Lytechinus pictus: one gene and its partner. Each later gene encodes a partner of the first gene's protein in a complex. Links are inferred from orthologs where the notes say so. Each region holds a gene or a part of one and is shown on either strand. Other genes may lie near its edges.

Region 1 (7,164 bases):
AAAACCTAGAAATAATAGAGATTAAATCAGCCTGGAATTTCACTTGTAAAGAGAAACAAAATGTTTTGACGGAAATGTATTTATTTGGCTACTTGGTAACAATGCAACAGTGTCTTGTTGCATAAAAAGTTACTATTATGGTACCATTCAATGGGAACTTTGCTGAAATCCTTGATTTTGATTGGCTGTTGATCAGCGTCATCATGGTAATTACCATTGGATGGTAACTTTCATGCAACGGGACCCAGGTAGTGAATGTAATAGTGCGTTATTATTCAAGTGAGACGATATCAGAAGACTAAGCTTCTCAGAATGTTGCAGTGTGGGTAAACTTTAAAGCATTGATTTGAGTAGTTGAGGACTTGATGTGGCGCTATACAAGCATGCTGGTTTGAACTGGCTTTAATATAATAATATAATTTTGCATTGCTAAGAATGGAATATACTGTATATATGTATTTTTTTCTTTTGAAAAGATAGGTAGTAAACCTATGGCAGCTGTGTTTAATGGCTTTGCTGAAAAAAATGAAACTTTACGAATAACAGGGTTTCATTATACATCTATCCTCAATAATAATGATGATAATAATAATAATAGGCATTTAAATAGCGCCAGCTATCTACAAATAATCTGTTCCGGGGTGCATTATGTATAATTATTATTACCCCCAGCTTTAGCTTGAGCTGCCTTTCAGCGCTCAGTACATTCAAGGTATTGATTCTACTGGGTGCCCAGTCACCTCACCTGGGTTGAGTGCAGCACAATGAGGGCAAATTTCTTGCTGAAAGAAAACACACCTTGATTGGGATTCGAACCCACGTCCCTCAGATTGAAAGACGAGATTCGTAACCACTAGAGTACCACGCCCCCACATCTTCCATTCTTTCACTACAGCTCCTTGATTTACATGCATTCTTCATTAAATGATAGAAGGATGTATTAGGTAATGTATCAGAAAAAAATCAAAGTGAAAAGAATACTGATATATATCACAACTCTTTAAAGGTGAAACATATGTCCACATAATTTGGAAAATGCTAGGTTAAACAAGTTAAAGTATCCTCAATAACAGGTATTTTACAAGAGAGGCTAAATGCTTTAAAATGATGAACTTACCTAATGATCTCTTTAGCACTCCCATGGGCAAATGCAGGTTTGGCCACAAAGTAATGTAGAAACAGTGTGTTCAAGGGCTGTGAACAAAATAACACACACACTTCCCTAATGAAGTATCATCATGTCTTGCAGATAACTGGACATATTTCACATTTAACTTTATTATAAAAAAAAAGGATTATTGGCAAATGACTCGAAACATAATGCTTCTGTTAACCACTGGCACTTGGACATTTCACGAATATGATCATCAATTCAAAGCACATACACATTTCAGACACATTCCCAATATATATATCTAATATATAAATGGTTTCATTTCTTTGAGAAAGATCTGGATATCCATCATTCACATCATCATCAATACATGTATATAACTGTAAGCACACATAAACCAAATAGTGAAGAATTTTTTTTGTGAGATAAATTTGCTTGAAGTAGGCACTGGTATAATGAGATAAAACAGATGCTTAATGAACCATTCTACATCAGGCAATTTTGTTTTATTTTGGGGGCTACTTTTTTTAATGAATTTCTAATTCTGCAACCTTGGATTAGCTTTATTATTGCAATGAATGGAGATTTCCAAGGCTCTTTTCTGAGTTTCTAGGCCTCTTTTGAGCTTTTTGGTGGCAAAATCGCCTCAAGCCCCCGTGTAATTTTCTCCATTTTACACCACGTATGATGAACTTACTGTGCATGCTTCTGTATCATAGTATGTATTGAGCCATTGTTGCCATTCCCCGTGATCTACAGAATCCACGTTAGGATAGTCAAAGAACGCAGCATGGGCAAGGATGTCTTCTCTTTCATTGTTGAGGGTCACTGCCAGGACTGCTTTTTCACTGTATGTGAAGCAAAAATGTAATGTGAAACAAGAATGTAAGTAAATAAAGTATAATTCCTGTCTGACATCTTCACAAAATAATGAAATATGTGAATGCAAGTTGTGTTCAGAAATTCAAATGTATACAAGATTTCATTCATTTTGTTCCATTTTCTCTCAGATTATTCCCATTCTTTTCAAGGCCATGAAATTTTACACCATATTTTATAATTTCTTTTATTTTAATGGACTTCAGGTACTGGTACATGTACAAGATAACACATTCAAAGCTTGGTCTGTTGAAGACTATTATGGAGCAATAGATCAATGAGCTCAATGATCGGATATTTTACTGTACATATAATAGGTAGTAGTAAACAGATAATTGTCTTTCTGTAGAATTCTTTATCAACATTGACATTCTCAGACTTTCCCCATCAAGGCTATCAGTTTCAATATTGATATTGATTCCCAAGAAAAGCCATGACTGATGATATTTCTTAGTTATTGTGTGTGGCTTCTAATAAAACCCAATGCATTGTAATAAAGCTTTATTCCTTGTAGCACTTTGAGTGTCAGCACCTTGGAAGAAAGTAAACAAACATGTAAACCTACCGATCGAAACTGAATGAACAAAATAAAAAAATCACTGAATTTATTTAACATGATACAATGTGATAGCACTATACAAAAACATACATCATCATTGTTATTATTTTTATTATTACATTCATAAATGTGAAATGCTTACATGATATTCACAACATCCACCAATCCGAACTGTGGCTGAGTTGATTTGGTAACCAGCTTCAGGATATTTGGAGCATCAAGTGATTCTGTTCGTCTAGCATTGATCACTTCGGTCGGTCCATCTGCTGACTGGACAACAGTAGCCATTTTTACTTTTTCCTGCAAGACTAAAGAGATTCAGATTGATTACCAGGTGATAGCTGTGTAGGCCTATTCTATGTGTCACTGAGAAAGGAACATAAGTCTTAGAAATAATTCTAGTCTATTATGAGAATGAGGAAACCCATCGTTATTTTTAGTGAACACACGTTGTCCACAGCTTCAAGAATTTACTAACAAAAAAAGTTAAATATTAGAGATACGAACGAGTGAAATTAAACTTCGATGCTGACCCACCGAAACAGGGCATGATCACGCCAACCAAGTCAAAGAACATAATTTGGATCTGAATAAATATAACATCGACTCCGACATGAGCTGCTTACGTACTGGATCATGATGGATGCTACTTCAGGCGATAGTTCGTATATAGGCTCCACTACGCTTCACTAGCTACTGCTACCCTCCGCTATATTACCTGAAGGTTCAGGTACATGTAACTGTTAGGTGTAGCGGAGGGTAGCGGTAGTGAAGACTGAAGTGCAACTTAGTGGAGCCTACACGAACCATCGCCCGAGGTAGATCTAGACAGTTGACGGTTGACGGCTGACGGATGCCAATGTTTTTTGCCAATATTGGCCAAATTGGGGGATTTTTTTTTTTTGAAAAGAACTTTCTCAACATTAAAGTTTAACTGATGATAATTTCATGATTTTGAACCTCCCCTCCCGGCTCCCCTGCCCCGCCCCCAGTCGCTCTTCTTGACCGGTTTAAGGGATCTTAACTTGGTTGAGCTCTGCGGCCTTCTCAAGTTAGGTCCTTGGCCTGGGTGGGAGTCGCACGATCACGACACTCCAATGGCATAGACAGTCCAGACACCAGCAGCGGCGGGAAGCAAGCACACGCGCGGTCACGGGCCCCGACTGGCACTCTCTGAGACTGTCGACGCGACGTCCACGGTCGGTTAATTCAAACATTCCATTCTTTCACAAGGTTTTTATTCACATTTATTAATATTCAAAATCACGCATACACAAACAGAAATCAATACACAAGGACATTATATTGAATTCATTATATGAAATAACATACACACCCTTATTCTTAACTTCTACAAAATTGTGTTCGATCCGTGAAAAAAAATTAAAGGGTGAGATCTAGCATATTTTTAGCGGCGGTAGCTCTATGGCAACAAAACTCTTAATTATGTGACTAAAAAAATACAACTACATATTTAAAAAATAATAAAATCTTGTACAAAAAATTAAATTTATCTTTTTTAATATTTTTATGGCTACGATTTAGAGGTTATGAATGCATGTAAGAGTTATGAATATTTTAATACCTTTTTAGTTTTTTATTTACTCGAACAAGCCATATTTCAAAGCGCCATCTCCGTCTAACTGCTTTTTGTAGATTCGCTTCCGAGGAAAAAAAACTGAAAAAACTTGAAACTAATCGACGATTTTCATGGTCTTGACGCTCATACTATCATAAACATGGCTTCTTCTAGCAAAAGTAAAGTTCCCAAAGTTGCGAAGGTAAGTTTCCTTTAAATTGCTTCATTCAATAATAACTAAATAATTGATTGCAATTTCTCCAAAAAATATAACACGCTATGAATGTGAACAAAGATCAGTTGTTATTCCGGTCAGGATAAAGTTAGGGTAAACTCGTATCGTCATTGATGTTTTTCTTTAATTTACATGTAACGTTAGAGTAAAGTGGCCAACAACAAAAAATAATTGAATCAAATAAAAATCGTGTTTATTTCCTTAGTATAAATGTTGAATATTTCCATTAAAAAATAAAAATGCAAATTGAAAAAATGATGATGGTTAACAGAATTGCATAATTATTTAGGATGGGGTAGCCAGGCGGCTTCAAAGTTAGAGAGTAAAAATCATTTACTAACGTAAGGTCACTCTCGTACGAAGCCAGGCCTTCTATCCCATAGACCCACACAATGGAAGCCAAAACCTGAAACTTTCACCCCCGAGATTTCTACTTTCCTTCTAAAAGATCTAGCCTTCTAGGCCTAGCTCTAATTCTAAATCATGTATGATGGGGGGACCTAAAAGCTACGCACTTTGTTTTCAAACAATAAAAACTATCCCAATTTTAATATTTCAACAAATATCTTTCACTAATTTGTGGCAAACATTCTAAAGATCATTAACCAAGAAGAAAATATCGCAAAACTCACTAATACGAAAATCCCGCCGTGTTTTCCGAACCGGTATTTTATAGATGGCAAATATAGCGATCTTCAACGCTTATATATAAGCGTCGAAATTTGTAGCCATCTCCTTGTATTAGTCTATATTATACGACGTGTCAAATTGTAGCGAACTAGTTCGCTATTTCCAGATCTCCTCTATATATATATACACGACGGGAAATTGTAGCGTGTAGCGAACTAGTTCGCTATTTTCCAGATCTCCTGTATATACATACGATGGGAAATTGTAGCGAACTAGTTCGCTATTTTCCAGATCTCCTCTATATATATATACACGACGGGAAATTGTAGCGAACTAGTTCGCTATTTTCCAGATCTCCTATATATACATACGATGGGAAATTGTAGCGAACTAGTTCGCTATTTTCCAGATCTCCTCTTAACGACGGGAAATTGTAGCGAACTAGTTCGCTATTTTCCAGATCTCCTCTATATACATACGATGGGAAATTGTAGCGAACTAGTTCGCTATTTTCCAATTCTCCTCTATGTATACGATGGGAAATTGTAGCGAACTAGTTCGCTATTTTCCAGATCTCCTCTATATATATATACACGACGGGAAATTGTAGCGAACTAGTTCGCTATTTTCCAGATCTCCTGTATATACATACGATGGGAAATTGTAGCGAACTAGTTCGCTATTTTCCAGATCTCCTCTTAACGACGGGAAATTGTAGCGAACTAGTTCGCTATTTTCCAGATCTCCTCTATATACATACGATGGGAAATTGTAGCGAACTAGTTCGCTATTTTCCAGATCTCCTCTATATACATACGACGGGAAATTGTAGCGAACTAGTTCGCTACAATTTCCCGTCGTGTATATATATATAGAGGAGATCTGGAAAATAGCGAACTAGTTCGCTACAATTTCCCATCGTATACATAGAGGAGAATTGGAAAATAGCGAACTAGTTCGCTACAATTTCCCATCGTATGTATATAGAGGAGATCTGGAAAATAGCGAACTAGTTCGCTACAATTTCCCGTCGTTAAGAGGAGATCTGGAAAATAGCGAACTAGTTCGCTACAATTTCCCATCGTATGTATATATAGGAGATCTGGAAAATAGCGAACTAGTTCGCTACAATTTCCCGTCGTGTATATATATATACAGGAGATCTGGAAAATAGCGAACTAGTTCGCTACAATTTCCCATCGTATGTATATACAGGAGATCTGGAAAATAGCGAACTAGTTCGCTACAATTTCCCGTCGTGTATATATATATATAGAGGAGATCTGGAAATAGCGAACTAGTTCGCTACAATTTCCCGTCGTATGTATATAGAGGAGATCTGGAAAATAGCGAACTAGTTCGCTACAATTTCCCGTCGTGTATATATATATAGAGGAGATCTGGAAATAGCGAACTAGTTCGCTACAATTTGACACGTCGTATAATATAGACTAATACAAGGAGATGGCTACAAATTTCGACGCTTATATATAAGCGTTTAAGATCGCTATATTTGCCATCTTATAATTTCCCTTTCCGAACACCTTGATTTCGCCACCCGATGTAGAAGGGGTCCTAAAGCTACGCACTCGATTTATCATGCAAAAAAATAGTATTTCCTGTGCCTCAATTTCTAGAATATATTCATAATATTTTAGGATAAAATGAAATTTAAGTGAATATAACTCTAAAATTCCAAAAAGTTTTTGGTTTTCTCTGCATTTAGAGATTTACTGCAGCCTCTGTAGAAGAAAATGAATAGGAATCGTTCGTCACACTGCAGTCACAGTTCCACACACAGAGTGCGCATTTGCCATTAAAAACTGCATGCGCGATTAGTGGTGCATAGCTTTAGGACCCGCGTAGCTTTAGGACCCCCTACCATACATTGGATAAAACTTCATTTCCGACATTTCTACACTCTCGTTGTTATTTTTAAAACAAGAATTCATCAAAAAAATGAAAAAATATTGTGAAAAGACGGAAGAGACTTGCCCGATGTTTACGCCGCCATCTTGTTTCTTATTGTACTTCCCCAACGTTACGCGACGCTCGCGTCCGTAACGTTGGGGAAGTACAAATTTTACTGCACACAGCAAAATTTTTTGCCCTTTTCACCGCATTCACAACACCCAAAAATGGTCATGGTTTTGAGAGAAAAATCAAAG
Region 2 (7,392 bases), on another chromosome or scaffold:
AATGACACTTTTCTTTTAACCGGTTTTGAATGCACTTCTTTGAACCCCAGTCGGTTTTCATAATCACAATATTTTCAAATTGTATATGCATATCTTTAAACTTTAAAGGTATGCATTAAATTTGAATATATTTGAAGCAAATGTTGTTTTTGACAACCTGAAAGTTTGTCCAAGGCTTGTCTGACATAGCAACAAATAATACATGCAAACTGTCTTCTAACAGGAGATGTTTGAACATATTTAAAGCAAAGTTTGTTGGCTTTTTTAATGTTAATGTGGCCAGTAATGATATCATCATAAGCAAGATAAATTAATTTCGCCCTTAAAAAAAAAATTATCGACCATGTTGTTTCATCATGACTTTATTCAAGTTCAAAGACACTGATATACAATATATACATAAAGAGACCAGGTCCATCGTTTCCATTCCAAACAAATGGCAGGTCAGTACATGGATTACAAGACAAGTAATACGTATATATACCAATATAGATAATTATTTAGAGTAACATAAATGCAGGAAAATAATTAGTTAAAGCTGTCGTTGATATCACGTTGGAAAAAAAAACACTCAATCAGTCTTCTAAATCAGAGCTGGATATATAAATGGAATTAATCAACTACTGCATACAACCTGAAATGTACAGACAACATTACGAGAGGTGTTTTGTACCCAATTTCCACTACGGTATCTTCTTAATTATTATCATTATATATACGGCTGTGATCATTATATGTTTTTGTGTATTCAAATCAACTTAATTAGCTACTGACACAGAAAAGGTTTATGGTCATAAATTAAGGCTGATGAATTTGGAGATGACACCCCCTATAGTTCTAGGAGAAGAAGAAGACGAAGAAGAAGAAAAAGAAAGAGAAGAAGAAGAAGAAGAAGAAGAAAAAGAAGAAGAAAGAATTCGTACTCAATAATATCATCGTGCATATAGGCTTTATATATTGGGCAACATTATTTTTGCAGCCCTATTTCCCAGTCTTCGTTTTTTTGTCTCCTAGTTCATGTTATCAATTCGTCATCATACTCTATTGATAAATGATAGGGGCGTCTATCCATTTTTCAGAGGGGGGGGGGCAAAATCATGAATCAACGTTCCAAAGGCGCTCGATCACATAAAACAAACAAACTCACCCACACACCCACACACACGCACACATAGTTCTATATATATATGTGTATATATATATATGACTCATGAGAAAGACTGGGCGCTGTGGCCTGCGCCTGTAATCCAAGCTATGTGGGGGAAATTACAATTGTTACAGAGTTTCGAGGTTCGAGCCCTGGTCACGTCTTTCGGATGGTGACGTTAAAGGTCAGTCTCAGACGTAGATAATCATTTCTGATTGATACACGTCTGGAAAAATCAAACACACACACATCATGAGAAAGAGACACATATCTCACAAACAAATTTATGCGAGCGCAAAGCGCGAGCTGAATTTTTTTAGTATACTGACCTGAAAACAGGAAAAAAAGTACCTGTTTAGGACTGTTTGTAGTAACTCATGAGGAGGATACAATCTCACTACACAGATAATGCGAGAGCCGAGAGCGAGGTGAAATTTTGTTATATTCTGACATGAAAACTTGATATTATAAGCATTTTGGTACCAATGATTAAGATGAATACCTAAAAGAACAATAGATGCGAGCTGAAATTTTTTATATGCCAATCTGAAAAGTGGACATTTTGAGCACGATTTTAAATAAAGAACGAGTTGTCTATTTCAATCTCGCCTGCCGATTTCTGTGTAACATTACAATCTCATTTTATTTTTGAAAATCCGGAATTATTGGGGGGGGGGCAAAATGATTTATGTTCCCCCCTCCCAATATTTTTATTGGTGGGGCGATCGCCCCCCCCCCCCAGGATCGACGCCTCTGATAATTGATATCATTACATAAATATATTGCAACATAATCCATTACCTTATAATCCAGTAAAATAGGGGAGATTGGGGTTAGTTGGAACGCGGGGTAAGTTGAAACATTTTAATTTTCTTTAACGCCTTTAAATAAATTTATGCAATACTGCCCTCAATTTATTGCCATTATCAACAACCATCCACCATATTACAGACAACACATGTGCAACAAGCCTGGTGAAGTTAAAAAGGAATTTTAGTTTTTATCACCTGAGTATTTTTTTTTCTTTCAGAAATGTTTTATTATCTCAGAGAAGTTTATAGATCAAGTTGGCCAGTTTGGGGGTGTAACAGACACTTGAACCAAGCTACAAAATAAGGTTATTAAAGGTCAATCCACCTTAGGAAAATGCCGACTTGAATAAATAAAGAAAAATCAAACTAGAATAGTGCTGAAAATTTCATCAAAATCGGATGTAATATAAGAAAGCTATGACATTTTAAAGCTTCGCTTATTTTTCACAAAACGGTGAAATGCACAACTAGGTGAGTCAGTCGATGATGTCCATCACTCACTATTTCTTTTGTTTTTTATTGTTTGAATTATACAATATTTTATTTTTTATAGATTTGACAATAAGGACCAACTTGACTGAACCATATAGTATTGACTATTGAACAATGCTATTTCCATATGTTCAGGGAGAAATTAATCGATGTATCACTTGACAATGAGGAGAAAATTAGAATATTTCATATTTCATAGAATAAAATACAAAAGAAATAGTGAGTGGATGACGCCATAGTCTCCTCATTTGCATACCAGCCAGGATGTGCATATAACTGTTTTGTGAAATTAAGCGAAAAAATGTCATAACTTTCTTATTTTACATCCAATTTTGATGAAATTTTCAAATCAACTTTTTGTTGGGGTGGACGGTGGACTTGTCCTTTAATATGCCACGGTGAAGTCCTTTTTTGTGCTGTAAGCTTATAATTGTCAAATGGGCCTCTGGGGTTTGTGGGAACAAAATTGAAAGGGCTATTTGGAACATGTTCCAACTTACCATAAAACATAATTATGAATAAAAACATTGGATATAAAAAATGTATACAGCATTTCACACTCTTCTGAACATTGTATCGAAAGCCATGCTTATTTAGGTCTGAGTGTGCATTTAAGGCCTCTTGTAGGCCCCTAATGCAAAATTAACCCTTATCAAACTGGGGGGGGGGAGCGGTCGGTCAATTTGAGCCCCCCTCGCCAAATTTTGTCACTACGCCGTCGCGCGAACTTTTTTGACCGCACCGCTCACTGACTTTTTAATGTCAAGTCTTGTGAATCATTTGAGACCAATTTGCGATGCCCGGGTGCCCGGTTCTGAAATTACGCAACATTTTGTTAGTGCATGTCGGACCCAGAATTGCTCAAAAACGTGATTAAAAAAATCATAAATGTATGATTACTTTTACTTTTGTCGGTTCAAATGGATTTATTTCATGCTATTTATGATCGCAAAAAGGTCCCTGACAAACTGAAGTTCATCGGAAAAAACAATAAAAAACAGAGGTTCGAAAAAACAAAATTAATACAAATTAAAAATACAAAAAATACATAAGAAATTATATTTTTTGCAATTTTTTTGTAGATATTTGTTATAAATGTAAAAAAAATGTAAAAATTAGTATTTTACATGTACCAGATAAATAAATTCAGTTAAAGGAAAAAACATTTTTTTTAAATTAGGGCAAATTTCATACCTGCATATTTGCATAATTAATTAATTAGAAAATATTACCAATTAATTTTGTCATGTAAATTTGATGCAGAAGTACATGAAATTGCTGATACACTTTATTGCATGTAAAATCAAACGCACACAAATACGCGAAATTCTACTACACTGACATTCGGCTTGCGTGAGTGGCTGTATAATAGAAAACATAAAGTTCAACAAATCAGAATACACACTTTTAATATTTTGAACTTGAAAAAAACAAAGTGATTAGGCTAGAACCATGTAATATTACAGTTGTAAGTAGTTTTAGTATAATTCTTAATTGACCATGCAGTGTTCCAACTGAACTTACCCCATACCATGTTCCAACTTACCACGTATATGGGGTAAGTTGGAACTTGCGATGGTCTTGTTCAAAATAGATTTTTTTTTTTTTTTAGTAACCATCACAGAGTTAAAAAAATTATGGGGTACATTTTATTTTGAAGCCCTTAGATATGTGCTTTAAGCTGATATATTGATTGTTTCTCGAATAAAATCTATTTAGATTTTACAGTCATTTTTGTCATAAATGTTCCAACTAATCCCAATCTCCCCTAAAGTCATTATTTGGGGGAGGGAGGGGGCGAGAATCGCGTTACCCTCTCTCTCTCGCTTCAGTTCCTCCGTTGTTCGGAGATCGGCAGGTATATCACTGCAAAAGTTGAGTCAATGAGTCTGGTAAATGTCAAGTCGACAGGGATTGAAATACTAGTACCGTAACTTTTTTCTCCTTCAATTTTTTCCATCTACTTCACCATATCAGAGAGACGGTGGACGACTCAATTTCGAAAATGGAATCTGACGAAGGGGAGAAGAAGAAAGGATTTTCCTTTTCCTTTGCCAAGAAGAAACAAGAAACGAAAACTCTAGAATCTAAAAATATCGGTGAGGCTGAAATTTTGGAAAATAAGACCGAAACGGACTACATTTTATCAGTAGACTCAAAGAAAGTAACAAGGTACGTTCACCAGCCTCAGTTTCAGTTCGTCAGCGGCTCGCCTCAGGCTCAGCGTGGACTTCTGCCGGAACCCACCCGGCGATATTCCAGGCATGAGAGGCTCCGCCACCTCAGTACCGCTTCGCAGGATTTATAATTGAAAATTTTAGATTATGCTCGCAATATTTTTGATATAGGAACCTAGTGCCTAGAAGGCCCTAGATCTATGTCTAGCTGGTCATATTTCCGAATCAATATAACAGTAGAATTTTAAGTAGGCCTAGGCCCCTAATCAGTTTTTGCTTTTTTGGCATGTTTGGAATTGGAGACTCATTTGAAAAAACAACAACAACAACAACAACAACAAAAAATTGAACAACAAGGCACAGGCCGACAGAAGGGGGGGGGGGGAGTGGGGCCACTTCCATTGACAAGCGGATACCATGCGCGACCATGGGGTCTCGAAAAGCACCCTAATCACGTATTTTCCATATTCTGAAAATGCACCCCTCAACAAGTATTGGCGTGTGAAACCCTAACCTTACATGCCTTGGCATTTGAAACAAAACGATACTATTGGCAAGTATTCCCTGAATTGAACCCCTAAACAAGTACAGCGATATTTCAAAATATTACATCACGGACATCGATTTTACCTATATCATTAGGTTTAGTACAGCCCCACCTCCCACACCTCATGCAAATCGTACTCTTGGGGAAAATAGTATATTCTTTATAAAACATTTTAGTCTTAATTTTTTATGGGGCGTCGTGGTCTAGTGGTTACGAAGCTCGTCTTTCAATGAGAGGGACGTGGGTTCGAATCTCAGCCACGGCGTGTTTTCCTTCAGCAAGAAATTTATCCACATTGTGCTGCACTCAACCCAGGTGAGGTGAATGGGTACCCAGCAGGATTAATTCCTTGAATGCACCAAGCGCCTTTAGCAGCTGGAGCTACAGCTGGGGTAATATATAGTGCGCCATTGAATAGGAAACTAGATAAATCGGCACCTCATAAATGCTCTATATTATTATACCCTCGCAAATTTGACCCTAAACTCGTAGCTTTCTTAGCGAAAACAAATACCTTTTTGTCTCACCTGCATAGCAGAGTGAGACTATAGGCGCCGCTTTTCCGACGGCGACGGCGGCGTCAACACCAAATCTTAACCTGAGGTTAAGTTTTTGAAATGACAGCATAACTTAGAAAGTATATGGACCTAGTTCATGAAACTTGGCCATAAGGTTTATCAAGTATTACTGAACATCCTGCCTGAGTTTCATGTCACATGACCAAGGTCAAAGGTCATTTACGGTCAATGAACTTAGACCATGTTGGGGGAATCAACATCAAAATCTTAACCTAAGGTTAAGTTTTTGAAATGTCATCATAACTTAGAAAATATATGGACCTAGTTCATGAAACTTATACATAAGGTTAATCAAGTATCACTAAACATCCTGCATGAGTTTCACGTCACATGACCAAGGTCAAAGGTCATTTAGGGTCAATGAACTTTGGCCGAATTGGGGGTATCTGTTGAATTACCATCATAACTTTGAAAGTTTATGGATCTGATTCATGAAACTTGGACATAATAGTAATCAAGTATTACTGAACATCCTGTGCAAGTTTCAGGTCACATGATCAAGGTCAAAGGTCATTTAGGGTCAATGAACTTTGGCCAAATTGGGGTATTTGTTGAATTACAGCCATAAATTTGAAAGTGTGTTGTTCTAGTTCATAAAACTTGGACATAATAGTAATCAAGTATCACTGAACATCCTGTGCGAGTTTCAGGTCACATGATCAAGGTCAAAGGTCATGTAAGGTCAAAGAACTTTGGCCACGTTGGGGGTATTTGTTGAATTGCCATCATATCTCTATAAGTGTATTGGTCTAGTTCATAAAACGTGGAAATAAGAGTAACCAAGTATCACTGAACATCTTGTGCGAGTTATAGTAGTTTTCAAAATCAGCACTGCTGCTATATTGAATCGCGTGATGCAGGTGAGACGGCCAGAGGCATTCCACTTGTTTCATTATTTTAGTGTTTTTGACACCCTTATTACTTGAAAAAGACATCCTTTTTATGTGTTTTTTTTTTGGTCGTGCATGGATCCACTCGACAATGTAATTGGCCTCCCTGGGGAACAAGGTTATGATATAACATTTCTCTGTTACTACTCCCTGTGTGGTGAAATAAGGTTGGCAATGTTTGGCTTATTTTCTCTTTTTTTCTTTGGAACAAATGCTTGATTTTTTGACACTGTCAGTTTCCATTACAGCTATTCATCATATAACTTTGCTCTAAAGTAAATCTGATTCTTAAAATTATTTTTTCTCAATTAAAAATAGAGATTGAAAAATGACAATTGTCTTGTCACATTTGTTTCCACCAATATAGGGCGTACACAAAAATATGCCAAAAATTCAAGTTTTCGAGCGCTCTGGTGAATACAAAAATTACTCCCAAGTTACTAATGAAAAATAAATTGTATGGAAATTAGTATTTTTGGTCACAAAAGAGATATTTTAATGATTTTTTAAATTGTGTGCTGTGTACAGCATTGGCATACCATAGTCTTAAACTGTAGATTCCCCACAGGCAGGATGGTAATGAACCCTTGAGTGGTTTGGAGTTTGCTCAAGCCAAGAATCGTGGCAAGCCTCAAAGTCAAGGCAAGCTGGAGCTTTATTTAAGTTTAAGGCTCCATCCCAGCAGTAAAAATTCATTTTTGAGGGCTTACGTAAGCATAATGAATGTTCGATGATTGATCTAAATCATC

Evidence for each region.
Region 2: crooked neck-like protein 1 (region 1) and G-patch domain and KOW motifs-containing protein-like share a complex: the UniProt entries of both Homo sapiens proteins name them as parts of the minor spliceosome. The link is inferred for Lytechinus pictus from reciprocal best matches to the Homo sapiens genes CRNKL1 and GPKOW.

The regions. Positions count from the first base shown.
Region 1 is NC_087251.1:43,100,316-43,107,479, reverse strand, and holds the start of crooked neck-like protein 1, read left to right. Parts: upstream 1-4,155; 5' UTR 4,156-4,291; coding exon 4,292-4,333; intron 4,334-7,164. Other genes in the region: cilia- and flagella-associated protein 61-like, read right to left, coding at 1,118-1,194, 1,812-1,962, 2,695-2,840. UniProt on the Homo sapiens protein: Involved in pre-mRNA splicing process. As a component of the minor spliceosome, involved in the splicing of U12-type introns in pre-mRNAs.
Region 2 is NC_087247.1:30,698,780-30,706,171, forward strand, and holds the start of G-patch domain and KOW motifs-containing protein-like, read left to right. Parts: upstream 1-4,329; 5' UTR 4,330-4,456; coding exon 4,457-4,623; intron 4,624-7,392. UniProt on the Homo sapiens protein: RNA-binding protein involved in pre-mRNA splicing. As a component of the minor spliceosome, involved in the splicing of U12-type introns in pre-mRNAs.